Canis lupus familiaris: one gene and its partners. The main gene of each other region encodes a partner of the protein of the gene in region 6 in a complex. Links are inferred from orthologs where the notes say so. Each region holds a gene or a part of one and is shown on either strand. Other genes may lie near its edges. The genes, in order: SGF29, DR1, KANSL3, YEATS2, KANSL2, WDR5 and CXXC1.

Region 1 (4,128 bases), on a different chromosome or scaffold from region 6:
CAGGAGAAATAGCTCCCGAGACCTCTACAAAGGCAAAATTTGTGAAATCCTTGTCAACATCAGCTTCATAAAATGCAGGATATACAGCTGAGATGGGATAGATGGTCATGCCATTCATTGACAAAGAGACCACACAAAGAAAAACAACCTTGATGGGAAAAATAAACTGATGTGTTAGTTTGGGGCTGAAATAGTTTGTGTTGAAGTCTGAGATTCTTCTAAGTGCATACAAAAATGTTGAGGGCCCATTATCTGCTCTCATAGGTACTAGGAATGTGCTGGGTAATGAGAAAACAGGTGAACAAAACAGATGATTCGAATCTTATTGAGCTGACAAGTGAATCAAATAAACGATATAGGGCAGTCCCAGTGGCCTAGCAGTTTAGCGCCGCATTTGGCCTGGGATGTGACCCTGGAGACCCCGAATCGAGTCCCATGTCGGGCTCCCTGCATGGAGCCTGCTTCTCCCTCTGCCTGTGTCTCTGCCTCTCTGTGTGTCTGCTGTCATGAATAAATAAATAAAATCTTTTTTAAAAAATAAACGATATAAAATGTAATTTTAAACTTTGATAGGGGTTATGTAAGAAATTATAAGACATTTACTAGAATGTAAACTAATGTAGTTTAATGTTTACTCACGTCCTTAATACGGTCCTGAGAAGATTCCCTCAAAGTGCAATTTTTGGGTCTACAGATCTGTTTTTTTTTTTTTTTTAAGATTTTATTTATTTATTCATGACAGTCACACAGAGAGAGACACAGACAGAGGGAGAAGCAGGCTCCATGCAGGGAGCCCGACGTGGGACTCAATCCCGGGTCTCCAGGATCGCGCCCCGGGCCAAAGGCAGGTGCCAAACCGCTGCGCCTCCCAGGGATCCGATCTGCTTTATTTTTAAAAAACTAAACATACACCTAACTCTGAGAAATGAACAAGGGGTAGTGGAAGGGGAAGTGGGCGGGGGGTTGGGGTGATTGGGTGATGGGCACTGAGGGGGGCACTTGGCGGGATGAGCACTGGGTGTTATGCTATATGTTGGCAAATTGAACTTCAATTAAAAAAAAAACAACTAAAAAAAAAAACTAAAAAAACCATAGAGCTAAAAAATAAAATAAAAAAAACTAAAATAATAAACTACATCTTTTGGGGCAGCTTGAGGTTTAAAAATTTTTTTAAATTATCTTATAGGCTTTGGGGAATGAGAGAGGATACTAAAAACACACAAGGACTCTGGTTTCTTAAGTTCCCTTAGGGCATCGGGCATAGACTGATAAAATAAAAACTACATTTCCCAAGGAGCAGCGCGACACGTCACAAAGGAAGGACGGCGCATGCGCGGAAAGGTTCGCGCTGCGACTAGCTCGTAAAAGGGAAAAAGCGTGTGTAGTTCTCGACGTGCCGCGAATCTTCGAACGCAAGCGCGTTACGGTACTCAGACTTTGAAAAACATTCGAGGGACGCGCCCGCGGCTGCCGTCGTAATTTCCAGCTCGACGTGCCTATTCCGTGGCTTGGCAGGTGGGGATGGGTCGCAGTCTGGGGCCCCCGGGGAATGGCGGGAGCGGAGGGCCGGGGTCGCCCTCGGTACGTCCCCATTCCCGGGCCTCGCTGGGGCAACTCTCGGGGGGCGGTGCGCACGCGCCCTGGGCGGGGAGAGGCGGGGCTCGGGGAGGGGTGGGGCTGCGGCGGCGGTCTTTGGGCTCTGCGCATGCGCTGGCCGGCGCGGCGTGGAGGGGAAGCGGGCGTTCGCCGTGCGGGGCGCAGAAGCCGCAGAGGCGGCGGAGGCGGGGTCTTCAGCTCAGGTGCGAGAAGACGGCAGCGGGGTTGAGCCCCTTCTAACGAGACAACTTCATTCGCCCTCCGGAGATTTCCAGTTGCCTCCTCATCTCTCGGCGCCCGTTTGCAGCGTGAGGCTTCAGCCTTAGCTGGCGCCTCATCTCCAGGTCTCTTTCGAACCCGCTCTAGTCTAGGCCCCCAGCGCTCCACTAAAATAGCACTTGGTGGAAACCGCCAGTGACCTCTCGGTCGCCAAAGCTAGTGTTCAGTTCGTTCTCACCTCTGTAGCAATGGCTGATGCGCTTCATCACTGCCCTTTCTTGAAGCACTTCTTCGTTTGATTTGTAGGACATTCTCTTCAATTTTTTTTAAAGGTTTTATTTATTTATTCATGAGAATACACAGAGACGAGAGAGAGAGAGGCAGAGACACAGGCATAGGGAGAAGCAGGCTCCACGCAGGGAGCCCGATGTGGGACTCGATCCCCGGACTCCAGGATCACGCCCTGGGCTGAAGGCGGCGCTAAACCGCTGAGCCACCCGGGCTGCCCAATTTTTTTTTTTTTTTTTAATATTTTATGTATTCATGAGAAACACAGAGAGAGGCAGAGACCTAGGCAGAGGGAGAAGCAGGCTCCCTCCCTGCGGGAAGCCTGATGTGGGACTGGATCGCAGGACTCTGGGATCACGACCTGAGCCGAAGGCAGACACTGAGCCACCCAGGCCTCTTAAACATTCTCTTCTTTAGCTTCAGCTCTCTGGTTTCTCCTCTGCTGATTTCTTGTTCCTCGTCCCTATCTTTAATGGTTATACTCCCCCGCCCACGCCCTCATCCTAAGCTCTTCTTTGTGTCCACTTCCTAGGAGCTATCCATTTCAAAACTATTTTCTTTTTAAAAATATTTTCTTTATTTATTCTTGAGTGCTAGAGAGAGAGAGGTAGAGACAGGCAGAGTCTTGTAGGCTTCCTGCAAGGAGCCGGAGGCAGGACTCGGTTCTGGATCCCGGGATCATGCCATGAGCCGAAGACAGACGGTCAACCGCTGAGCCACCCAGGCGTCCCTATTTCAAGGCCTTAAATAGAAATACTATCTATTGTGCTCTCAAATGTCAATCTTCGACCCAGTGCTCTACCTCCAAGACCAGATTTTTATATTCAGCTTGCAAATGACATCTCAAAGTGTCGAGTCGGCATCTCAAACATGTCCAGAACTGAAATTTTGAGTTTTACCCCTCACATACCTTCACCACTTTCCCCAGTCTTCCCATTTTTCCAGTTGTTCAGGCCAACTCAGGCCAAATACTGATATATTCTTGGTGTTTTTTTGCAGCCTGGCCCTGCCCCCCCCCTTTTCCTTCTCCAGTGTATTAGTGTGTATGTGCCCTTAAGGCTTTGAAGTTTCACTACTGAGTGTTCTGTGGATATTCTCTTTGGCACTTGGTCATTTTTGCCTGAGAATTTGTGTTTTCCGTTCTTCAACATTACCTGTCATCGTTTATTCAAATTTATCCATGTATCCTGTTTTCTATGTCCTTTATAAGGTATTTACTTCACCTACAAATAAGTATATGGAACTACTTGTTTAATGTCTGTTCCTTTCTGGACTGTGAGTTTTGTAAGCAAGACAGGGACTCTTTGTCTCATTCACTGATGTATATTTCTCATTCCTAGCATAGAGTAGGTATTTGACAACTATTCATGAGTGCATTTATACAGGGAAGTATCTATAATATCAACTAATTGGGGTACCTGGGTGGCTCAGGTGGTTAAGCATCTGACTTTTGATCTCAACTCAGGTCTTAATCTTGCAGTCATAAGTTTGGGCCCTACATTGGGCATAGAGCTTACTTTTTAACCTGCCCCCCCCCAAAAAAAAAGGGGACAATTTTTTTTTTCCTGGGGTTGGAGGGAAGATAGTGAATAGCCCAACTTAAGAATTGTTGAGAGACTATTTTAAGAGATTTCCAGGATTCAGTTTGGTTCAGTAATGTATTCTGAAGACTTAGTAGGTGCTAGGCCCTGGGCTAGTTTCTGGGAATATAAAGACGAATACAACTGCATGTCAGTCTTCTAAGAGCTCGTGGTCTGCAGGAGAGATAAGTAAGTGAAACAGTCTCTCAATGTATGTGTGACAATGCAAGAACAGAAGTTTGTATACCATGCTTTGAAAGTTTTGACTGCCCTTGGCATCAGGGCAGATGAGTGGGGCCTGGGGCAGCCAGATCCCCCTGCCATTCTTTTCCAGCTGTGAGCAGCTTTGCCTTTTACCTGAGTGTGCCACACAAATGTTACCAGAAATATTTTGTACTGTGTGTGCTGTGGTGTGAGAAGGTTGGCAAGTACAACTCTTGAAGTG
Region 2 (3,500 bases), on a different chromosome or scaffold from region 6:
GGCAACTGACATAGGAATTTAGACTACTTTATACTATCTTTAGTGGCTTTTCCATTCTGTTTCCAAAATACAAACAATATGTCATTTCTTCAACACATTGGATTCCTGTAAAAATCACTACCATACTTTATTTATTAGAACCAAAGTAAAGCTTCTCCCTTTTAATGAGTAGATTGAAACTATTTACGTTTCATATACGGCTGATCAGTTACGACACACTTTCTTAAAATAAAACCAATCATTTTTAAAGCTATCACTCAATTATGATGGAGACAATGATGCCATTTCAAAAGGAAGCACTGGACACTCTAGGCCATCTAGTCAAGAAAATGTAAAAGTAATGCTAAAAACAAACAATAAGTAAACTATAACTACAAGTTAAATTACAAAAAAATCCCTCTTTTACAGTAAGCATGCTTATTAACTTTCATTTCTTTCCCCCAGCAAAGGTCTGAATATTCATGAATCTCCTTTAAACCAATGGAACCTAAGCAATTGTTTCACAAGGTCCAATAAACATGGATGGACTGAGCAAGTAATACTATTAACAATTATTGGAGTGAAATAGTAAGAATCATGACAGTCCTCAAAATTGGGTAGTCTTTGAAATGTAATAGTGTAGCTCAAGATGAATTATGCCATAATAAAACTGTAGTTTTCACTTCTACATAAAACAAAAACAAAATCAAAAACATAACCCACTGAATTTATACAACTATTGAACATACTCCTTGCTAGTTTTTGAATGTTTTGAGATTTTTTTAAACAAGTATATTTATCTGAGCATATATATTTATTGCCTATATATATATATATATATATACCCATTTTAAAAGACAAAAAATTCAGATACTACAAAACTGAACTCTTTGTTTTTTCACCAACCTGATCTAACATCTACTGCATCACACAACACCCTCCCCCCAATAATTTAAAATTCCCAATTTTTAGTTTAGTTAAAAGGGCAGAGGAAATGCAAATGCAGATTTAGAGTTTCTGTATAAATTTTACTGTATTTTATAAACTTGACGTTTTCTGTAACACTGTTTATTGATCAAATAAAGGACTCACTGCTATCTAAAATTTCATAAACACCATTAAAAATTCAAAATTGATATTATACTGAACCTTAAATTTTCAATAGTTCAAAGAGACAGTTTTTACATGAATAGCACACAATAGATGAAACTTAACAGCAGACATCCCTAGAATACCAATGGCAAGTCCACCAAGATGCATACAAAATTACAGATAAGCATTTCTTTCACTGTTTTCTTGTGCAGGGAAAAACATTTATAGAGGAAATAGAAACTCAGCTGGTAAATTTCAGATATCATCATCATCTTCTTCATCTTGAGAAGATCCTGCCTGGTTAGATGCACTGGCTGTGGCAGCAGCAAGCTGTGCTTGTTGAGCAGCTTGCTGCATTTGAAGCCATTCCTGCTGGGCCAATTCTGCTTGCTGCTGTCTAGCCTAAACACCAAAAACATAAAAACAAAGTTTTTTTTTTTAAATTCACAACATACTCACTTTGGTTAAATATAGATTAAGCCAATTACATACTTAGTTATCAAATTTGGATATTTTCCAACCACTATATAACTGTTACACATCTGGAGAATATGAACTCTTTAAGAAAATATAGTTAGACCATTGCCTCTCTGTCAGCTGAGGACAGTTTCCAAAACTTGGTTCTCTTACAGGCAGTACCCTTTATGCCACATAATTTTATGACCTTTGGTTCAACTGAAGTTGAAAGAGCTGGCAGAAAGATTTTTGGTTCCTTTCCTGCTTCTCATTCCTTTTGTTTTGATTCTTTTGTCCTCTCAACTTAAAATTAACACGTAAACATTTTTCAATCTAAAAATTATTTCTGTGGTTTAAAAGTTGTCTAGTACAGTACCTCTAACTCTTAAGTACTAATAAATATGAATGCAATAGCTACCTTGATGTGTGAGTTTCTTTTTTTAAGATTTTACTTATTTATTTGTTTGTTTAAGAGAGAAAGCACACACACACTCAAGCAGGGGGGAAAAGCAGAGGGAGAGGGACAAGCAAATTCTGCCCCAGCACGGAGCCCAGTGCAGGGCTCTAACCCACAATCCTGAAATCATGACCTGAGCCAAAATCAAGAGCTGAATGCTTAACTGACTGAGCCACCCAGGTGCTCCGATAGTTTGAGTTTCTCTTACAGTTCCCTACCCTAAATACACATTTCTCCTCTGAACCCCTGCCCCATAAATACATACACGTGTGTACACACATATATACCCTTCCCATATACATACTAGAGAAAAGGCACTTATCCAGAACTGAATTTAAGTGAGATAGTTAAGATCCATTCCTCTGATATATCCTCTCCACAACCATCAGAGAATTTTAGAAACTGGGGCACCTAGCTGGGTCAGTCAGTAGAGCATGCAATTCTTGATCTCAGGGTCAAGAGTTCAAGCCTCACACTGGGCATAGAGCCTACTTTAAATAAACAAATAAATAAGGCTTTATATTTTAAAGCTTTATTCTTAATAAAATAAGGAATTTTAGAAACTAAGATACACATATAGGCATTACACACACTGTTGCAACAGCTAAAAGCTCTTTCCCAATTTAATTTTATCTATTAGCTTTAGAAAAATCACACCAACAGGGAACGAATGAATCTGTTCCTGAATAGATCATATTGGATTCTACCAAAACAATGCTGTTTCTCCTTCTCTGCCTTTTCTCAGAATTGTTACTTAAGCCTGGCTCGTACCCGCCAATTCCGAGTTACCATTTAAAACAGAAATTAGTCTTTCTTGATCCTTCTAGGTCATATTGTACACTCTATTTCATATGCCATAATTCTCTATGCATTCTCATATCTACCTACTTTATTCTTTAATTATCTGAGCATGTATCTTTTTTCTCCACTAGCCTTGAGAATAAAGACTATTTTCATACTCTTTGTTGCATTCCCAACACATAGGCTCTGGTATTTTCTGAATGAATGTTTTGTGGGAAATGGTAGTACTCAGCATAATTCTAACATTAAGATTTTGCCCTGTATATTCCTGATTTTTCTTAATAATCTGTCTTGAATTTATTATCCAAACATTTCTAGAGGAGAATTCTAATCAGACCATCATTATACTTTAAAAAAATCATCTGTTACCAATTAAGTCCAATTTCTCAGCTTAGAGTTCAAGGTCCTCCAAATTACTGCCTGCCCAAATCTATCTCCCAAATCAATTTTTGTAATATGTACCTGGTACTCCAAAAAAATCTAGAACATAAAATGTTGCCCATATACACCATACCCTCCCCATTTTCACTACCTTATGCTGATATTCATTCTATTTGAAATTTCCTATTTTTCACCTATCGAAATTCCACTCTTCCTTCAAATTAAACTGAAATACTGGGGGGAGGAGCAAGATGGCGGAAGAGTAGGGTCTCCAAATCACCTGTCTCCACCAAACTACCTAGAAAACCTTCAAATTATCCTGAAAATCTATGAA
Region 3 (3,500 bases), on a different chromosome or scaffold from region 6:
GCTGATGCGGCCCCTAGGAGAGGATATAACACATGTCAGCACAGGCTCAATCTCTTATCCCAAGAGCAGCCATACTCAGCCACCCTCCACAGCCAACTAAAGTACCACTGCTCTTTTCCTGGGACATCCCCAGTGCTCTCGGAAAGATGCCAGGAAGGGCTCCCTGGGCATGCACACTGCATGCCCTCATGAAGAAAAGTATTCTGCTAGACACACTGCCTTGGGTTTGCTCCACATATCCCCACCTGCTCCAAACCACCTGTCTTATGTTTTAGACAGTTTTAGGAAAACCGAAGAGAGCTTGAACCCCACTTTTCAGAAATCTAAATTCCATCCTTTCCAGGGAAAAGGACAGCTTCTTAAGCCAAAAGAATTCCAAATATCTGATTTCATTTCACTACACAGTCGAGAGGCCACAAAGCAAAGAGGGAGGTCCTCCTAAAAGAGGACACCTCCAGAGCCTTGGCCCTTCTGGGCTCAGGTAATCAGCCATCATATGTAGGGTGAGGTGGTGAAAGCAAGGAGACAAGCAGAGGCAGAAAGGTGCCTCGGTTTATGTTTTATTAATGCTAGTACACCACAATCCCCAGTTTTCTGCAATCAGATATGTTTAAAAACACCACAATGAACACAATACACACATCTCCCACCAGCTATTTCTCTTCCTTATAGTACAAGAGATACTACCTGCAGACTGGGGTATATACTCGCTGTGAATATTAAAACCAAGAACTCCCCCACCTCAAAGTTAATTCCAGCTTCACATCAAGCCTCTATGAAAGCCTGCCAACTCAGGGGAACATTCTTTAGATTCAGCTGCTTTCCCAGGACCACCTCCAGCAGCAACCCAAAAGACACTTTGCTGGGAGGCTCAGAATGCTGAGCTACCAGATACCTGGGAGGGAGCTGCCAGGAGAGGTGGCCACCAGACGGCTCTGGAGTGTGTGCAAGGCACCAGGTGCTGTGCTGCTGGACACTGAGGAGGCTGGGCTGGCTGAGACTCCCCCTTCAGAAGCACTTGACCTGGAGACAAAAACAGGAGCTCTATTATCCAAAGGTTAGAGGGCAACAGACCCTGACAACATAGGAAGGGTTCAGAGTGGGGCCCAGCAACGCTTATAGTAATGAACACTAGAACCCAGAGTTTCCTTGTCCCACCTTCTGAATTCAGTCTCTAGTCCTTCTGAAAGTCAGGCCTTAAGTTAAAACTTCAAACCAAACCTTGAAGCAATAGCTATGGGATGCTCTGCAAACTTTAAATAAAAAAACAAACAAAACAAAACAAACCTCTGAGCTAACCCCCTAAAAAAGACAAAGATCCCACTAAGAAAGAAGTCATATTTCCAAACTGACAAAATCCAACCTCCACCATCTTTCCAAGCACTAAATCAACCAGGAAAAAGGTGAAGAGAAAGAAAGGAACAGAGCCAGAGAGGCCAAGAAATAGACTCACTTGGTGGTGGTGAGAAGCCCTGTGAGCTCTTTGGCCCCAGCTGAAGCCTGCCCCAGCGTCATGGTGATGGGCTTCCCTCCCACAGCTGCAAAACAGAAAACACCAAGGTCACCAGTCAGTCCTGGCTGGCCCCTACTATTCAGAGTTTCACAACCTAGGCTAAATGCAAAATATTATGGACAAAGATTGGTCAAAGAAAAATGAAGATCAAGTACAGTAGAATAGGGAGAGTTGAGAGTTCTATTTTTCTTCTATTTTTTAAACTTTCTGGTATATTTTATTTATTTACTTTAAGATTTTATTTTTAAATAATCTCTATACCCAACAGGGGCTCAAACTCACAACCCTGAGATTGGGAGTCACATGCCCTACCAACTGAGCCAGCCAGGCATCCTTGGAATATTTTCTTATCTTTAACTGAAACTGGTAAAGAACAAAATATAATGATACTTTGAATGACCCCTGAGCTCCCTCTGATCCTCGTTCTGCCTCCCCGATCCTAGCTTAGATCAGGTCACTGTCCATGTCTGTCCCACGTGCTACCGCATGTCCTCTCTGCTCCAGGCACATCTTACACTGAAGCAGAGGCTTAGTTGTACAGCAAGTAGTCACCAAGAGAGTAATGTTATGTGGTTTGAGACAGCTCAGTTTTTTTAAACAGGCCAAGAAAAACTCACCTTCTGGAACTCCTCCTTGGGAAGGAGTACAAGGCCCTCCAGCTGTGTCCCCTTGGGAGATAAGGGATACCTTAATCTTCGGTCGCTTGGAGGTCTTACTGCCAGGAAGAGGACTGGAGGGATGATGGCGCTTCAGTTGGACCCTAAGATCTTCTTTCTCTGCCTCTTCCGTTTGTTCTGATGAAATGGGAACTAAGAGATGGACCTGCGGTAAGGTCTTCCACAATCCAAAAAAGCCCGAGAGACACTGACAGCACCAGCATGGGCATGTCTGTGTGTCACACACAAAATCACACTTCAAAGGCAACTGCCAATGCTTCAATCCCACCTCACTCAGGTCCCACCTGTGGTACAAGGCCACCTTGCCCTTTCAGAGGATAGCCCCATCCCCATCCCTTATCCTGTTCTGGAGACAGAAGGTAGGGGGCTCTGAGTTGGTGGGAACAAAAAGAAAGGAGAAGATACCTTAACCCTGCCTACCAAAGGCCAAACAACAGAGGACTCACTACAAGGGACCTAAGCCATGCTTCCTGGACTCAATGTGGTAATTTTCCTGTTTCAGGCCCACCCCACATCACATAGCTGGGGTACAGGAAACATCCCACAAAGCAGTAGTAGAGGAGCACACTACCCAGTCCTCTCTACAGAGGAGATTTTCACAGGCTCTCAGAGTCCTACTCTGTCCTAAGAGCCCAAGGTTGAGTGTTTGGTTGCCAAATGAAGGCAACAAGAAGAATTATTGCCAGGAATTGACACTGGCTTTGAGTAGCTACTAGGTAAAGGAGCATCTTAGCCAAGACAACTTTACTGCTCCTGCCCAAAAGCAACAGGGCAACAATGGCCCATGTCACAAGTAGTCCGCAGGTCATTTGTACTAGTACAGAGAAAGGCCAACTGTTCACACATAGCCTTCCCCCTCCACAGAATCAAACATACTCATCTTGCACATGACCAAGCCTCTCGGAATCTGAAGTTATCCTTCAGGCTTCCTTAGAGATTCCCTTCTCTTTAAAACCAGAAGCCCAGGGATCCCTGGGTGGCGCAGCGGTTTGGCGCCTGCCTTTGGCCCAGGGCGCGATCCTGGAGACCCGGGATCGAATCCCACATCGGGCTCCCGGTGCATGGAGCCTGCTTCTCTCTCTACCTATGTCTCTGCCTCTCTCTCTTTCTCTGTGACTATCATAAATAAATAAAAAAAAATTAAAAAATTAAAAAATAAAAATAAAACCAGAAGCCCACCATAGGCCCTCTTTTTAGCATAGGCAATCAGGGGTAGGGTGGGGAGGAAAACAATAGTCCTATGAGGATGGCAGGCAGGGATGGGGCTCCTGGCCTGGGCCACAGAGAGCTACTCCAGGCCACAGGGTATA
Region 4 (3,969 bases), on a different chromosome or scaffold from region 6:
AACTACATGTTTTCAAGATCTAAAAGGACTCTTGATAATCAATTCCCAAAAGTGATAAACACAAAAAGATATACACAGGATACAGAAAATCACCAATGGCAAATATATGTTAAAAAATGTTCAAACAAACAAACAAAAAAATGTTCAAACACTCTAGTAATCAATGAATGAAAAATTAAACAAGACACCATTTTTCACCTACCAAATTTAGTTTGGGAGCAGATGGAAATAAGGCATCTCGAAAAAGGCCCAGGTTTTTCTAATCCACACTCATTATCTTCCCTTCCTCAAGCCCCAATCAATTAATTATTCCAATCCCGTTTCCATCTCCCACTTCTAGAACTCTGGATAATAATAACAATGACCAGAGGTGCCTGGCTGGTTCAGCTGGTGGCACATGAGACTCTTGATCTCCAGGTTTTAAGTTCAAGCCCCACGATGGGTGTAGAGATCACTAAAAATTTTTTAATCTTAAAAATAATAATACCAATAACAAAACCAACAACCTCCAAATCCAATTGAGCATCTCACTAAACATCTCAAAGTCAGGGATGGACATCCTCTATCCTCTCTGAACTTATTTTTCCTGGCTTCCATGACACCTTTTGGTCTTCTGCCTTTTTTCCCTACCTCATTGGCTGTTTCTTCCATTCTATGTTCAATCTTCTTCCCATACTGCAGCTCGAAGTATTAGCGATCAAGTGTCAATTTTCACTTCTCTATCTATATTCTTTCCCTTGGTGATCTCATGCAGTCCCATACCTTTCAATATCATCTATGTAATGAATTCCAAAGTTTTATCTAACAGCTCCTAGCTCTCTCTTCCATGAGCTCTAAACCTGCACATCCAATTTCCTCAATATACCAACTTCATAACTGATATACATCTCACATTTAATATACCCAAAACAGAACTCGTGATTTTTCCCCCTTCAAGTTTCTCTTCCATTCTTCTCCCTCTCAGTAAATGTCACTATCTACCCATAGCTGCTCAAAACAACTACCAAAAAAAAAAAAAGAGAGAGAATTCTTGGGGCATCTGATTAGCTCAGTAAGTAGAGGATGCAACTCTTGATCTCAGAGACCTGAGTTCAAGCCCCAGGATGGGAAGAGAGTTTAACTTAATTTTAAAAAATATATAAAAGGGTGCTTGGGTGACCGAGTATGTTAAACATTCGACTCTTGACAGTTCAAGTCATGATCTCAGGGCCAAAAGATAGAGCCCCACTTCAGCTCCGCGCTCAGCAGAGTGTCTACTGGAGATTCTCTCTCTCTCTCTCCTCCCCACCCCTGCCCCCTCCTCCTGCTCTCTAGGACTCAAGCAATCCTTCTCTCTCAAATAAACAAATCCTTAAAAACACATTAAAAAAAAAAAAAGTAAAGAAGTCTCCTATTTTCCCACTAACCCACTCACAAGTCTTGTTCATTCTACAACCAAAATAATGTTTAAATCTCTGTACTCTTCATCTCGCTGCCACGGACCTAGTTCAAGGTACTGCAAACAGCATCCTAACTGATCTCCCCGCTCCCATATTCACCCTCTTCCTCTACAGAGCAGTCAGATTATGCTACCTGCCTTCTTAAAACCTTCAAAGGATTCGTATGAAAACTAAATTCCTAACCAGGGCATTATCTGCCCCACTATCTTTGAAAGAATATACAGAACCAAAAATACGCAATATCTCGAGGCAGCAGAACTATGAATACTCTTCCTCATTTTGCTTGTCTATATTTCTTCATTTTTCTATGATGAATACTTGCTATTTGCTTATTAAGAATAAAGGATACTGCCGAATACTGTATATTACATCTCGTTTTAACACCATAAGGAGAAAAGAGAATGGAAAATTGTAAGTAAACTCTAATTGCAACTGTTACAAGCTCAGATGAAAATACCAGCAAACACATCCAGAACACTAAGAAAGAGGTGTCAGGGCCGTGGGGTTATTTGGTGATATTTTCCTCCTCTACTTTCTATTCTTTACCCTGATTACACTCACGATAGAAGACAAGGTTATGATATAAACCTCATTCATTGTCTTTTGCAATCCGGCCACAACCCACCAAACCAGCCTTTCCTCCAAGTCCTCACTTTCCCAAGCTTTCCGCTGTCACCCCGCACTGTGTCACGCCTCTGGTGCTTCTAACTGGAGCGTATGCCTGGAAAATCCTCCAACCTTTCTAAATCCCACTCATCCTTCGCGAGGGAGGACCGTAAGGATGGCGACAGGTTGGAAGCAGACTCCGCGGTGCCTGTCGGTAAACCCACAACTTGCCGGTGCTGGAGCCAAATCTCGTCTCCGTCTCCACCGCAGGCCACCGAGCCCAACAGGCCGAGAGCTCCAGCCCCGGGGGTCCCTGACCCCGCCGCCCTCGGAGAGCGCTGAGCCCCGAGGAAGGACCCCACACACGCAGCTGCAGGCTCCCGCTCCGGAGACGCCCCCGACCGGCACGCTCACCCGGCCCGCTCCCCGCGGTGCTCGGCGGCCCGCAGTCGCCGGCTCCCTCCCCCTCCCCCGCCCGCCGGGGCCGCGCGGCGGGCAGGGTGGGGGAGGGGAGCGCACGTGCCCGCGCCGCCCCCGCCCAGACAATGCCCGGGAGAGCGGAGCGCGCGCCCGGCCGGCCCGACCCCGCTCCCGCCAACACTCACCCTCTCCCGGGTCTCCGGCCGAAGCGCAGGGCCCGCCGGGCGCGGCGAGAGGGCACGAGGGAGGTGCGGGAGCGGGCGAAGCCCCGCGGAGCCGCCCCGCCACGAGGCCCCAGCGACCCCGGAGCCCGCGGAAGCACACGGCTCGGCGGAGCCCGCCCGTCCGTCCCTCTCGGCCTCGCACGTCAGCACCAGGGGCGGGGCGAGGCGCGCGTGCGCGGCGGCGGCGGCGGCGCGCGCGCGGCCCGGGGGCGGGGCTTGCAGGGATGTGGGCGGGGCCGGGGCTCCCGCGGGGGCTGGGCCCCGCGCAGGGCTGGAGCTGGGGTTGGCGGCGGCCGGACTCTGATGGGGACTGGTGCTGCCGCACTGCCTGGGGAGCCTGGATGCCCGTTCTGGCAGAGGCACCGTCATTTATCATATTCCTCCCTAGAAGATGGCGAGTTCCAGCCTCCGGTCTGACAGACCGATATTCATTCTCCCAGCGTAGATGAACCTCCCACAGGTCTAAAACAGTAGTAATGATTTGTGTGTGTTTATCATCTTGTGCCAAGCTTTGTGTTAGGTGCTAGGGATACGGATAACAATAGTTATCACTGACCTATTATGCAGATGCAGAAATTGAGGCTCGGAAAGGTTGGGACTTCACTAGTTTATACAACTAGTGAGTGACCATCCATCAAATCCTAAGTATCTTTTGAGCCCACCTTTCCCTTTCTTTCTTCCTGTAACATCCTGCCTGAGGCCTCATCATCTCTCTGCCCAAGACTGCTGCAGCTCTCCAGGGATCTGTCTCTGTCTTCCTTCAATCTGTTCAACTCACTGTGTAAAAATTTACCCCTGGAGCTGAGTAGTAGGTTTAGAGAGAGTTCACTTATAATTTTTTATACTATTTATGTCATCAATTTTTTGGATGTACTTAAATTTAATAAATTGTTCTAAAGAATTTAGCATGCATGCAAAAAGTATTTGTTGAAGGGTGCCTAGGTGGCTCAGTGGGTTGAGCATCTGCCCTAGGCTCAGGTCATGATCCCAGAGTCCTGGGATGGAGTCCACTCCCTGCTCAGCAGGAAACCTGCTTCTCCCTCTGCCTCCTTCTGCCTGCCACTCCCTGTGCTTATGCTCTCTCTCTGTCAAATAAAATCTTAAAAAAATAAAAAGAAAAAGTATTTGTTAGGGGCACCTGCCTAGCACAGCCGGTTGAGCCTCCAACTCTTGGTTTCTACCAAGGTCCTGATCTCAGGGTGGTGGGATAGAGACCCTCCTCAGGCTCTGCTCATCAGAGAGTCAGCTTGAGATTCTCTCTCTCTCCATCCCCCCCACCC
Region 5 (4,246 bases), on a different chromosome or scaffold from region 6:
GGGATCATGACCTGAGACAAAAACAGACAGTTAACCAACTGTACCATCCAGGCACCCCTCCTTTTTTTTTTTTTTAAGGTTTTATTTTTAAGTAATCTCTGCACTCAATATGGGGCTCCAGTTCACGCCACCAAGATCAAGAGTTGCATGCTCTAGCAATTGAGCCAGCCAGGCACCCCTGGTTGCAGATTCTGATTCCCATATTTTCCAGCTAGTTTTGAGTTGTAGAGAGTTTATAACAAATGTCTTCTTTGTATCCCTTCTGAGGGTTGGAGCGTTTGCTTATGTGTATATATCATCTTTTCTGTGGATACTATGTTTGTATTTGCATCCACAATCTGAAACTGCTCTAGAATGTTTACTCAAAAGAACAGGGTCATCTCTCTTGTTCTCTCTGTATCCCTAGTGCCTAGCACTTAGGTTCTCAAGTATTTGTTGAATGAATGAATGAATGTTCAGAAAAGGGCCTTCTGGGGACACCCTAATCTGGAAATGACATCTCTTCTACCTCCCCCTCTACCCCCCTCCTTTGTTTTAATCACTTCGTGTGCCTAAAGTGTAGTTGTCCAGCATTGTAGATTCTCTATGCACACTTGCAGTGTGAATCATACTCATCAGCTCATTGTTGCTGGAGAAACCTCTTAAATGAAACTGACACTAGATAAACGTTGTAAGGCTGGGATGCAGAAAAAAGGTCCAGAAGGGTTACAGGGAGAAATTGTTGGTTCCTTTCTACAACAGGTGGGGTGGAGATGAAAAAAAAGATACTTTTGCTGAAAAATCGTTAAAGTATGATAAGATTGGGATTGTCTGCTGTTTCTCTATACCTGCATTAGTTAGCATGAAATTGTAGAGAATTTTAGAGAAGTAGGGTCAAAACCAGAACTCCTATTTCCTTATTCTCAATCCAATGCTCTATGCTACATGAGAGGCAATTAAGGGATAAGGAATGAGAGCTGGGTTCAAATTCACCTCCCTTTTCCATTTACTAGATAGATAGAGAGGCCCATTCTGTTCCTCGGTTATCTTATCCGTAAGATGGAGATAACAACCTCGGCCTCTCAGGGTTTGCTCTGAAAATCAAGTGTTTAAATATGAAACTTCCCAGACTCCGTAAATACTCGTTTCAATAAATGACCTGCTCACTAAAGAAAATTACAGCCTTTTCCTGTATAAACAGTAGGAATCAACTGTACAGTGACCTTCCGGCCTCTGTATGTCTGAGTTTTTGCAGCCGCGGGGCCGGGGTGGTCGGGGGAGTAGCCGCCTCGGACCACGCAGCGGCCAAGCGCAGCCCGAAAACCAGCAACGCCGCGCTGGCGAGTCCCGCGGTGCGCGCGTGCGCGCACCGGGGGGGCGGAGTCACTGGCTGACGGACAGTTCGTTTTAGCCACCCCGGCCGCGCTGTCTCTAGCGCCCCGCCCCCTCAGGCGTGATAGGTAGCGGGCCTCGACCAATGGTGACGCACAGCCGTGGGCACCGTAACCAATCAGGGGTTGGGAGCCTGGAAAGGAGCGGGGCCGAGTTAGAAGCGGCTGGCGCGGCCAGAGGGCTGAGCGGCGCGGCGCGGCGCGGCGGCAGAGGTAAGATGGCGGCGGGGCTTCCTCTCGCTTCTGCAGTTAGGCAGCCGCTTCGCCCCTCGTGCTGTCTCCGAGCTGCTGCTTTGTTTCAGCCAGCGTCGAGGTTGCTCTCTTCCTATAGGCTCCCAGAAGCCAGATTCTCCCGTGCCTGGAGCCAGAGGACAAAATGGCGCTTGCACGGGCGGCCGGGGACGGGCAGGGCCCAGCCGTGAGCTCTGAGGCGGCCGGGACAAAGGCGGCGTGCGGGGAGGCGGAGGCCGGGCGCGGTGCTGCGGCGTGGCCGGCGCTCCCTCCTCGTGCGGCGGCCGTGCGAGACTGGGAGGCGCGCGACGCGCGGGTGGTCCGGGTGGGGGAGAAGTTGCCGTGAGACTAATGGCTGCGAGGAGGGGGGCGGGGGGCGGGGACCTACGGAGGGAGACTTGGGCCAGCCCTTTGGAAACTACCCGCGCGGGCAGCCCGGATGTTGTGCAGCAGGAATTTTCGGGAGGGCTAAGGGCTTTCTGATCTTTTGTGTGACCCTGCAGGTTTTGGTATGAATAGGATTCGGATCCACGTCTTGCCGACCAATCGGGGGAGGATCACCCCAGTGCCCAGGTCTCAGGAGCCCCTGTCTTGTTCATTCACTCATCGCCCATGCTCGCAGCCTCGTCTGGAAGGGCAGGAGTTTTGCATTAAGCATATCCTAGAAGACAAGAATGCACCCTTCAAGCAGTGCAGTTATATATCGACGAAGAATGGAAAAAGATGTCCCAGTGCTGCTCCAAAGCCCGAGAAGAAAGATGGGTATATATTTATATATATATATATATATATATATGTACAGATCATTTATGTCGTGTGTACTTTGAGTTTTAAAGGGAGGAGGGGGGTGGGTGGGATGAGGTATATCGTGAGGTTGTGAATAGCTGGAGTTTTATTTTTTTTTTATTTTTTATTTTTTAACTTTTTTTTTAATTTTATTTATTTATGATAGTCACAGAGAGAGAGAGAGAGGCAGAGACATAGGCAGAGGGAGAAGCAGACTCCATGCACCGGGAGCCCGACGTGGGATTCGATCCCGGGTCTCCAGGATCGCGCCCTGGGCCAAAGGCAGGCGCTAAACCGCTGCACCACCCAGGGATCCCCATAGCTGGAGTTTTAATGTTGAAAACTGGAAAGAGGGCCACTGACTTCATACCTTTTAGACCTTTTCTTTTGTCTGTAAAATAAGGGGATATTCTAGATTATTCTTACCCACCCACCCCCCCCTCCCCCGGGGTCCCCTGGCTCTTTGGGTCATGACCCTGAGCCTCCTTAAGCTGTGTATACGTGTATTCTTCTGGGAGAGGCTTTGTGGCTTTCATCATAGAAGCAAAAGTATTCACGCAGAAACAGAATTTGGCTAGTTAACTCTGCATGTGTAGTTTGGTTTTGAAATTGTGCCCCACGTCTTATTACCCACAGTGGATTGATAGCTGAAGTAAAATACAGAGTTGCCAGAACCAGTTTTGAGAGATGAAAGTGGATCTCTTTGATTTGTTCTAAGATGATGTCAGCATTTTTTATAGTTGAAATGTTTGGTTTGATGAATGAAGCACCAGGTTATGCTGCCTGCATTTCTGCTTGGTAATATATAATGAGCTGACCTTGGGCCGGTTAAATTGCTCTGCCTCACTGGCCTTTTTAATTTATAAATGAAGGTAATGCTCATTTTAATTTTTTTTTAAAAGATTTTCTTTATTCATGAGAGAGAGAGAGGCAGAGACACCGGCAGAGGGAGAAGCAGGCCCCATGGAGGGAGCCTGATGTGGGACTCAATCCTGGGACTTCAGGATCAGGCCCTGGGCTGAAGGCAGGCGCTAAACCACTGAGCCACCTGGGCTGCCCTCATTTTAATTTCCTAAGAATGATCTAAAGATTAGTGACTAAGAAAATGGTTGAACTCTTTGAAGAAGAAGGGACTGGAGTATAAATGTTAATATTTTTGTCTCCTTAGGGTGTCTTTCTGTGCTGAACATGCCCGTAGGAATGCCCTGGCACTTCATGCTCAAATGAAGAAGACCAATTCAGGGCCTATGGGTGAAACACTCTTGTGCCAGCTGAGTTCTTACGCTAAGACAGAGCTGGGGTCTCAGACTCCAGAAAGTAGCCGCAGTGAAGCCAGCCGAATTCTGGGTAAGGATCTTCTCCTAGAATGAAAAAGGAAAAAGTAAGTTAAAGAACTTGTTTTGGGTAGCACAGTGCCTTGTGAATATACATGGCATGTGATAATAATGTAATTCATTGACAGTTTGGTGAGAATTCCAGGATTGCTGTGTTCACCAGTTCTTTTCAGTTTGAAGTAGTGTGTGCTTGGGTTTATTTTTCTGAGTTTTTGATGATTTCCTTCATTGTTGTTTATGCTTGTCTTTGTGAGGCAAGGTAATTTCAGGAAGCAAGAATAATTTTGAGTTGACCTTTCTGCCCTTTTGAGGGCAAGGTTACCTTATTTATGTTTTAAGTAATCTTACCTGGGTTGTATTTTTTCAAGCCAATTTTATTTGTCAGTGCCTTTGTACTAAGTTGTTGGGGCTTTTTTTGTTTGTTTTCTTAAACGTTAAGGTTTGGGTTGATGTGTTAAGTAATCTAGTTTTGTGTGGTGGAGTTACGGAGGTGGGAAGTCTTAATGGCTGCTCTCCCTTCCTTGC
Region 6 (4,015 bases):
CAAGCCATATTTTAAAAATTAATTCCCAGCAAAAAGGGTGAAAAACCTTCACCCACCTTGCTGGGCCCTGAGCAGACACACTATTCCAAAATGAGGAACCTATCTGTGGAGCTAAGTCTGCACTAAATACTCTTCAGATGCTAAGACAGGCTGCCCAGGCCCCTTTTGTCCATGTAATCCAAGGCCCCACCTTCAAGGGTGCTCCCTACTGTTATCCTCCTGGTAGGAATGCAGCTCAGGCCAGGCAAACAAAATGCAATTTTCTTCAAAGAGCCCTTGAAACGTAACAAAAAAAAAAAAAACAACCCTAAACCAACCCAAATTACAGGAGACTGAGCTTCAGGGTGTAGAAATTTGGGAACTCGTCCAAATCCTCACAAGTGATGCAACAGTGCTTAACTACCACGTTTGAAAATATACAAGAGCAGACACCCCCCCACCCCCCACCCCCCGCCCCACAGCGGTCTGCATCTCCCAGGGGGCTTCCCTGTCGTCTGGTGTAGACACAAGGCCGCCTCCAGAACCCTGGCAGCTCAAAAGGCGCTCTGTCCCTCGTGAGGCGACTACAAGACACAGCTGAGAAGTGCAAACCAGAGCCAGCCCTGTCTGCTGCTGAAGCCTGAAGTGTACACAGATCGGCTGCAAGCAAGCTCTCGCTGCAGGAGGGGAAAGACCGCAGCTCAATTAGGTTTCAGCGTGACAATGGGAGCTACCCAAGCTGTACAGCAAGCGACTCATTTGCTCTAGCCCAGGAACAGATTCCAGATCCTAGATGCGTCTCCTAGAAGCACACCTGGTGACTCTGAAATGGGGGAACCACCATGGTGTTCTTGCAGACATCACTGGTCATCCAATTCCTGGAAGCTTGCACCACTGTTAATCTAATGGTGTACACGGTGTAAAATTCTAGCTTGGCACTTAAAACTGAAAGCTTGCACGACTCCTTGTCACACCAAGGCAAAATGGAAGTCCATCAAAAAAAAGACCACGTCTTAAAGTCTTTATCCAAAAGGGAAATTACAATGCAACATACTTGTGCAGAGCACAGATGTGGTCCCACTGGCTACCTGTATATAGCAAGGACTTGGGCTTATGCCCAAGGATGGATCCTGCTGCACCCAAAGGCCAAGTCCTGGAGCAGGTCACATAATCACGCCCAGATACAAAAATGCTGGCACAAAGCTGGTGCTCAGCAAATACTAGCTGGTTTGTGAGTAAATTTAGTGCAACCCGGTCATGCCAATTAATCCGAGTGCTGCCTTGCTCTAGGTGGATGGACAAGTGGGGGGCGGGGGGAAGCTATGGAAGACAGCTGGAAAGACTGACTCACAAAACCTAGTATCTGAAGAAGGTATCAGCAAGAGCTAGGAGAGGTGTGGGGGAGAAACAGCAGTGGGAACAGAAGAGACTTCCTCTGGGGGTGACCTGGGCAGCTCAGGGAACCCAGAGCTGCTCCTTTTAACATAAAAATTGAGACCCGCCGGGAGGTGGAGTGTGACTCCCAGCAAACTACCTGCCCTCAAGGTGAGGACTAGAGAATACCACAGCTAATCTCACAGAAGAGGTGTGCGAACCCCTCCCAGCTCCATCAAATCCAATCTGCCAATCCCTTGGGCTAGCAAAACATTAATGTGCAATTTCTTGACTCCATGCCCCCAGTTTCCATTCAAGAGGAGGGAAAGCCTTGCATTGTCCGCGATGCTCAGGGAAAGCAACGGGGCAGCTGCTTAGGGACCGGCCTCCAGAGCACACGCCACCTGACCCCTCTGGGCCCTCACAGGCCTTTCACCCAGGTGAGCCTGACCATCCCAAACCGGGGTGCTCACCTGCACTGCTTGTAAAATGCAGATCCCCGGACTCCACCCGAGACTGGCCCACAGGCAGGTAACCCGGTGACCCGCAGGTGGCCGGACCAAGGGGGCGGGGTGTGCCGCTCTCCCCGCCTGTTTGTTCCGCGCGGAGCTTCCAGCCCAGCTTACCTATCTGCCTTCTGGGAGGGGGCCGGGCCGACCTCGGAGGCAGCGTGTGGCACAGCAGCTGCCAGTGCCGAAGCGCCGGGTAAGGGACCTGGGTGGGCAGAAAGCGGCATGAGAAGGCCACAGGGAGTGTCTCTGCCGTCACCCAAAATGGCTGTGGCACAGCACACTCAGGCGGCGCGGGGCGCTGCGGAGCGGGGTCCCCGGCTGCTGAGGGCGAGCCGCACCTGGGCCCGGCCGCCCGGGCTGGGGGTCAGCAGCAGGGCGCGGCGGGGGGCGTTTCCGCAGAGAGGGGCGCCGCGGTCCGCGCGCCCGGCCAGGACCCCGCCGCCGGGTCTGGGCTCTTTCTTCGGAGCAGCGGCGGAGAGCTCGGGGAGACGCGCGCCGGCTGCAGCAGCAGGTCCCCGGCCCGGCCCGCGCGCTGTCACCGGGCCGCTGGGGGGCCGCAGCGCGGTCGCGGGGGACGCTCGGGAGGGGCTGGCCGCGAGGAGGCGGAGGGGTCGCCGCGGGGCCCGGGCGCGGGCGAGGGCGAGGGCCGCGGGGTGGGCACCGGAAGGGAGGCGGTGGGGGCGCGGGCGCGGCACCGGGAGGGCCCCGGCGGGGCTGGGCCGGGACCTGGGACCTGGGACCCGGGACCCGGGACCCGGGACCTGGGCCCGGCCCGCCGGAACACGTGCGGCGGCGGGGCGGGCCGGGGGGCAGCCGGCGTCGGCCCCCGCCCGCACCCCGTGTGCGGTCTCTGGCCCAGCGGGCCCCGCTTACCTGCCGGCCGCGGCGGCGGGGCGGGCGCTCGGGGCGTCGCGTCGCCGCCGCCTGGGCGGGAGCCGGGCCGAGCTGGACGAGGCGGCGCGGCGGGGGGGGGGGGGGGGGGGGGGAGTGCGCGTGCGCGTGCGCGGGGGGCGGGGCGGCGGCGGGGCGGGGCGAGTGCACAAAGCCGGCCTCTCGGAGGGGCACTACGGGGAGCGGCGAGGGGCACAAGGCCTGGGGCAGGCCCAACGCCTTAAAGGGACGGCGTGCAAAGGGGTAACCTCAAAGTTGGCTGGTGCAGGTCCTTCTTGTGCACTTTCTAAAAACGGAAGTATGATGATACCTCCAGGAAAGTGCCAGTGTGCCCCTCGAAAGTTCACCTCCTGAACGCGGCCTGCAGCGGCGCCTCCAGAAAGCAGCAGGGCTCGCCCCCGGGCGTGCAGGGGAGGCAGGGCCCGAGGGTTCGTGGGAGACCCTCCCTCGGGGATCGCTGCCCCTCTCCGCCGTGGCGCGCAGCTGACCGCCGCAGCCCGTGTGCACCGCAGCCGGCGGCGCTGGTGTCTCCGCGCATGCCCGCCCCGGAAGCCAGGACCGGAGCCAGCAAGGTTGAGGGTGCCGGCTCCCCTGCGCTTCGCCCCCCCCCCCCCACCCCCAGCTCTCCTGCGCGGTCTGCCGGCCACCGCCACCGCCACCGGCAGAGAGCCCCGGCCAGGGACAGTGCAGGGCCGTCCTACCGGCAGTCACCAGGCGCAGGCCGCTCTGCTGTCTGCAAGGTGGGCTCCAGGACAGTTTGTCATGGCCGGGTACACACGAGGAAGGGGAACCCCAGAGGAGAGGGCTCGTGCAAACGGAGAGCCTGCAGCCCGCCTTCTGGCCCAAGTCCTGTGTGTTCTCATCCCGTTGGGGGGGGGGGGGGGGACACGACAACGACACGCGGGCCTTACAGTCCTGGAGGCAGTCTTCAGCTCCCAGGCCCCAACCCCCATCCCAGGCAGCATCACCTGCAGTCTTATTTCCCAATTAAGGACGGAAACACCAAATATGTGGCAGGAACCTGTGCTAACAAGAGGACATCATGTAAAAAGGAAATGCCCAGGGAACAAGGTGTGTGGTTGTCCAGGACACAAGCTGAGACAGGCTGCTGGTCTGCAGGCCACTCCCAAGGAGCATCGTGTGGCGCCAAGTCTCTGGCCCTGGCGTGGCGCTGTGTGGATCTCTGTTCCTGGGAGCCTAGTCACCTTGGGCCACCTTTGTTACAGAAGTTAACAAACCAGCACAAGATGAAGAAGGAC
Region 7 (4,113 bases), on a different chromosome or scaffold from region 6:
CCTAGTACCCCCGCTTCACATCACCAGGACATGCTCAACCCTGCTCCACCTGCCCTGACGTGCCTGACCGCTGAAAATGGCCGGGGGGGGGGGGGGGGGGTCTGCCCTGCCCACCTGGGGTCGGGGATGCCCCTGCTAGCCCCACACACCTGGTCACGCCCTGTTCACCTACACAGGCCAGGCTCCTTCCCACCTGTCTGTGTGTAGCAAGGCCCCAGCTCACCCGCCCAGCCTGCCCCCTCCTGGCCTCCACGAGCCTTTCCTGGACACACTGACACCCCCAGCCCTGCCCAGCTCTACCCATGCTCACCCGGGCCCGCAGCTGGCACTGACGCAGCCGGCACTTCTGCCGGATCTTGTTGGGGCCCCCAAACTTCTTCATGTCCCGACAAAAGTCACAGTGGCCACAGTCTTCGGTGCGCCGGCAGGCCTCACACTCGCCACACATGCGGGCTGACCGTTTGATCTGCTGCTGCTGCTGCTGCTGCTGCTGCTGCTGGTGATGCTGAGGGGAGAGGCCCAGTACAAAAATCAGGAACGTGTACGGGGCCTGCGGGAGGCTCAGCTTACCTATCCCAGCCCCAGCAGCCACTCACCTGGCTGGGTGTGGCCACCAAGGGCTGTGGAGAGGATTTGTGGGGCGAAGCAGAGCCCCGAGCAAGCATCGCCCCAACCCCTGTCCCTGACCCCGCCCGACGCTGCAGGTCTGGATCCGGGGCAGGCCTCTTGCGCCCTCCACCCTCATCCCGGGGCTCACTGCCGTCTCGCTCATTGCTGTCCCGCTCCCGTGACTTCTTGTGCCGATAACGGATTTCCAGCTTGGGGTCTTTCTCTGTGGGGAAGACAGTGGGGCCAGGGTGGGTGGACCCTGAGGGATTCGGAGGGTTCCTCTTCATCTTGGTCCCCCCCACCTTCTCCCCGTCACTCCTCCGGGGCAGGGCTACCCCGCTGGGGGACGCTCTAGCCAAGCGCCCGTTGGAGTCTCCGCTGCAGCTCACCACAAACCGAGTCCCTCGGCCCGGGACCCACCCTCCTTGAAGGCTTCTCCCTGGAGGCAGGTGGGTGTGCCCCCCGTCCAGGCCGCCCCCTCACCTCGGCACTCCCGACAGTACCACTCCCGGATGGCCTTGGCCATCTTCTCAGTGATCCGGATGCAGTCCCCATGGAACCACTCATTGCAGTTGTCACACCCGCTGCAGAGGATGGGGTGAGTGGTGCAGATGTGAGGGGCCGCACCCATCAGCCTCACCCAACCTCGCCGGCGTCAGCCCGCCCGCCTCTCCCCGGCTCACATCATGAAGCAGTTGATGTCTGGTTTGCGGCAGATGCAGTAGATGGGCGCGTTCTCGCCGTTCTCCGACTTGCTGTCCTCCCCAGCGTCTGGAGGCTCTGGGTCGGAGCCGTCCCCCTCCTGCGGGACGGTGCCTTAGAGCAGCCCCACCACGGCCTCCACAGACCGCGACCGTCTGCCCACGCTTCCCACCGCGGCTCCTCGCGACCCTCCCGGCCCGGCCCACGCCGGCACCCCGACCTCCCGCCCCGCCCCGCTCACGGTCACGGTCGCGGTCACGGTCACTAGCGCCCGGGCAGCCCCGCCCCCTCGCGCCTCCCCGCCGGCCCGACGCCGACTGCCCCGCTCGCTACGGGCCGCCGGGCAGGCTCAGCCCAGACGCCGGGTCCCGCCGCCCCGCAGTCCCCGAGCGGGCCCCCGACGAGCTGCCGAAAGGCGTCCCCACTAACTTCCATCACGGAGCCGCGCAGGGGCCCGTCACAAAACTCCCAGGTGGCTCACACGTCGGAACAAGCTCGGAACCCCGGACCCCGACATTCCACCCGCAGCCCCCTCTGAGGCTCCCCACAGGCCCCCGCCCGAGCGCCCGCGGACGCCCCTGACGGTTCACCACAGACCCCCCGAGTCTGCCCACGGACCCCCCGCCGCCGACCCGCCGACCCCTACCGCCGACCCTCCCCGGCCCCGTACTTACCATCTCTCCGCTCTCGGCGCACCCCTCTGCGACCCCCGCCAGCGACCCGCGAACCCGCACAGACCTCTCGGCGGCGTCCGCGGCCGTTGTAAAGGCGCCCACAACTACTTCCGCTTTGGTCGCGCCTCCCGGGCACCGTACTCTTATTGCGCAGGACTAATGCGTCGGCTCCGCACCAAACAAGTCGATCCGCCGCCTAGAGCCGCCACGGTCTCTCAGGCGCCACCATCTTGACGACCAAGACCGTACGGCGGTCAGGGCCGTAAACTAGTAGGAAACATGGCCGCACCTATGTGGCCGCTTTCGCGAGGGCACCGCCACCTTGTCGGCCGACTCCGTACGGTGGCCGCTCGTACGGACTCAACGTTACAGGAAATATGGCGGCGCCTGTGCGCGGCTTCCACGCAGATGCCGTCATCTTGGAAACTGATTCCGTAAGATGGCCGAGTCCGTACGTTCACGGGCAATGCATGGCAGCGTCCTACCCGCGGTCTCCAGGAGGGCGCCGCCATTTTGGCATCGACTCCGTACGATGGCGGCTTGCCCTGCAGAGAAGTTCAAAGGAAAAGCGGCTGCTCCCGAAACACCACGTGCCTCGAGTTACACTCCGTCTTCCATTCACTCACGTTTCCCTCCCACGTGTGTTAATGGGGCGCCAGCGGACTGTGCCCATGTTCCCCCGTTCTGTGTCTGACGTCATCCTCACCACCCTTTCGCGCCCCGGGTCCTCCTCGAAGGTCCTCAGCCCAGCCCGGCGCCCTGCAGCCTCGGCCCTTGCGGGAGCGCGGTCACCCTCCGAACGGAAGGATGCAGGTGAAGGGCCCGACCCTGGTGACAAGGGGCCGAGCCACAGCAGACCCCGGAACCCGAGACACCGGCTACACCGCGTCTTCCCCTGACCCCGCCACCGCCGGGATGTGGATTCGCCGGGATCCCCGTGACGTCCACTCTGGCTCTCTTCCATCAGACATACTCAATTCTCTCCTATGAAGTTAGTTCTTACAATTTTTTAATTAGACTCCGTACATTTAAAAAAAAAAAAAAAACCGGACAGGTCGGAGCTCTGGACACGTCCTTAAGGCCAGGCTGTAACTCAGGCAACCTGAGCGGTCGGGCGGGTTTTAACGGGTCAGCGCCCCCGCCCCAACCCCCAGCAGATGCGCGAGCCCGGGTCACAGGGAATGTCCGCGTTCAGGGTCACGACTCTATTCAGGTTGGGGGGGCGGGGGGCCTGGGGAAAATGAAACTTGTCACCGGGTGCTGACAGTCGTTCTGGATTTCTTGGCTCTGGACATCATAGTAACGTACTTGCTCCTGATGATTCTCCTGAGGGCGGTGTCGGGTCTGATTTTTGTTTTTGTTTTCACCTTTCCTAGACATTTTTACTCGTGGCCCCTCCACACCGTCACAGACAACCGAAGTCACAGGAGCTGCATCATGGACTGTGTGACCCTCTCTCCTTAAAACGCGTCTTCTTCTTCTTCTTTTTTTTTTTTAGAATTATTTATTTATTTATGATAGTCACAGAGAGAGAGAGAGAGGCAGAGACACAGGCAGAGGGAGAAGCAGGCTCCATGCACCGGGAGCCCGACGTGGGATTCGATCCCGGGTCTCCAGGATCGCGCCCTGGGCCAAAGGCAGGCGCCAAACCGCTGCGCCACCCAGGGATCCCCTAAAGCCCGTCTTTAATCCACAAAGTGGACCTTCAGATCCAGACTTGCCTCCTTTTTCTAGTTAATACTGAATTAATCTTAATTTGATTGTAACTTATTTTAATTAACATAATTCTTCGAATTTAGTTCATTTAATGTATTAAATTAACTTTAGTTAGTATAAATGAATATGCATGTGTTGGTAAGATACTCAGATAAATTTAACCAATAAATTTCAAATAATTCAATTTTAACTTAATTACAATTTGATGTATGAAAGTAAATTTAAGGGAATATAGTTCAAGTTTAACTTAAATTAATTACTCATTTAATTTAACATCACTGACTTGACTTACTAAATTTAATTTTATTTAAAATATTAGTTCAGGGGAATCCCTGGGTGGCTCAGAAGTTTAGCGCCTGCCTTTGGCCCAGGGCACGATCCTGGAGTCCCAGGATCGAGTCCCACATCGGGT

Evidence for each region.
Region 1: WDR5 (region 6) and SGF29 share a complex: the UniProt entries of both Homo sapiens proteins name them as parts of the ADA2A-containing complex. The link is inferred for Canis lupus familiaris from reciprocal best matches to the Homo sapiens genes WDR5 and SGF29.
Region 2: WDR5 (region 6) and DR1 share a complex: the UniProt entries of both Homo sapiens proteins name them as parts of the ADA2A-containing complex. The link is inferred for Canis lupus familiaris from reciprocal best matches to the Homo sapiens genes WDR5 and DR1.
Region 3: WDR5 (region 6) and KANSL3 share a complex: the UniProt entries of both Homo sapiens proteins name them as parts of the NSL complex. The link is inferred for Canis lupus familiaris from reciprocal best matches to the Homo sapiens genes WDR5 and KANSL3.
Region 4: WDR5 (region 6) and YEATS2 share a complex: the UniProt entries of both Homo sapiens proteins name them as parts of the ADA2A-containing complex. The link is inferred for Canis lupus familiaris from reciprocal best matches to the Homo sapiens genes WDR5 and YEATS2.
Region 5: WDR5 (region 6) and KANSL2 share a complex: the UniProt entries of both Homo sapiens proteins name them as parts of the NSL complex. The link is inferred for Canis lupus familiaris from reciprocal best matches to the Homo sapiens genes WDR5 and KANSL2.
Region 7: WDR5 (region 6) and CXXC1 share a complex: the UniProt entries of both Homo sapiens proteins name them as parts of the SET1 complex. The link is inferred for Canis lupus familiaris from reciprocal best matches to the Homo sapiens genes WDR5 and CXXC1.

What each region holds. Positions count from the first base shown.
Region 1 is NC_049227.1:18,372,763-18,376,890, reverse strand, and holds the start of SGF29 (SAGA-associated factor 29), read left to right. Parts: upstream 1-1,328; 5' UTR 1,329-1,515; exon of another isoform or gene 1,516-1,580; intron 1,581-1,745; exon of another isoform or gene 1,746-1,799; intron 1,800-1,805; exon of another isoform or gene 1,806-1,940; intron 1,941-4,128. UniProt on the Homo sapiens protein: Chromatin reader component of some histone acetyltransferase (HAT) SAGA-type complexes like the TFTC-HAT, ATAC or STAGA complexes.
Region 2 is NC_049227.1:56,185,042-56,188,541, forward strand, and holds part of DR1 (protein Dr1), read right to left. Parts: intron 1,474-3,500; coding exon 1,327-1,473; 3' UTR 1,318-1,326; exon of another isoform or gene 1-1,317. UniProt on the Homo sapiens protein: The association of the DR1/DRAP1 heterodimer with TBP results in a functional repression of both activated and basal transcription of class II genes.
Region 3 is NC_049231.1:46,404,935-46,408,434, reverse strand, and holds part of KANSL3 (KAT8 regulatory NSL complex subunit 3), read right to left. Parts: intron 2,323-3,500; coding exon 2,131-2,322; intron 1,539-2,130; coding exon 1,454-1,538; intron 1,024-1,453; coding exon 896-1,023; intron 14-895; coding exon 1-13. UniProt on the Homo sapiens protein: Non-catalytic component of the NSL histone acetyltransferase complex, a multiprotein complex that mediates histone H4 acetylation at 'Lys-5'- and 'Lys-8' (H4K5ac and H4K8ac) at transcription start sites and promotes transcription initiation.
Region 4 is NC_049255.1:16,824,854-16,828,822, reverse strand, and holds the start of YEATS2 (YEATS domain-containing protein 2), read right to left. Parts: upstream 2,801-3,969; 5' UTR 2,651-2,800; intron 1-2,650. UniProt on the Homo sapiens protein: Chromatin reader component of the ATAC complex, a complex with histone acetyltransferase activity on histones H3 and H4. YEATS2 specifically recognizes and binds histone H3 crotonylated at 'Lys-27' (H3K27cr).
Region 5 is NC_049248.1:40,821,200-40,825,445, reverse strand, and holds the start of KANSL2 (KAT8 regulatory NSL complex subunit 2), read left to right. Parts: upstream 1-1,446; 5' UTR 1,447-1,456; coding exon 1,457-1,583; exon of another isoform or gene 1,584-1,788; intron 1,789-2,104; coding exon 2,105-2,363; intron 2,364-3,555; coding exon 3,556-3,734; intron 3,735-4,246. UniProt on the Homo sapiens protein: Non-catalytic component of the NSL histone acetyltransferase complex, a multiprotein complex that mediates histone H4 acetylation at 'Lys-5'- and 'Lys-8' (H4K5ac and H4K8ac) at transcription start sites and promotes transcription initiation.
Region 6 is NC_049230.1:50,406,207-50,410,221, reverse strand, and holds the start of WDR5 (WD repeat-containing protein 5), read right to left. Parts: upstream 2,801-4,015; 5' UTR 2,739-2,800; intron 2,068-2,738; 5' UTR 1,980-2,067; intron 1,974-1,979; exon of another isoform or gene 1,827-1,973; intron 1-1,826.
Region 7 is NC_049228.1:78,682,965-78,687,077, reverse strand, and holds the start of CXXC1 (CXXC-type zinc finger protein 1), read right to left. Parts: upstream 2,801-4,113; 5' UTR 1,989-2,800; coding exon 1,986-1,988; intron 1,412-1,985; coding exon 1,293-1,411; intron 1,194-1,292; coding exon 1,093-1,193; intron 833-1,092; coding exon 597-832; intron 506-596; coding exon 311-505; intron 1-310. UniProt on the Homo sapiens protein: Transcriptional activator that exhibits a unique DNA binding specificity for CpG unmethylated motifs with a preference for CpGG.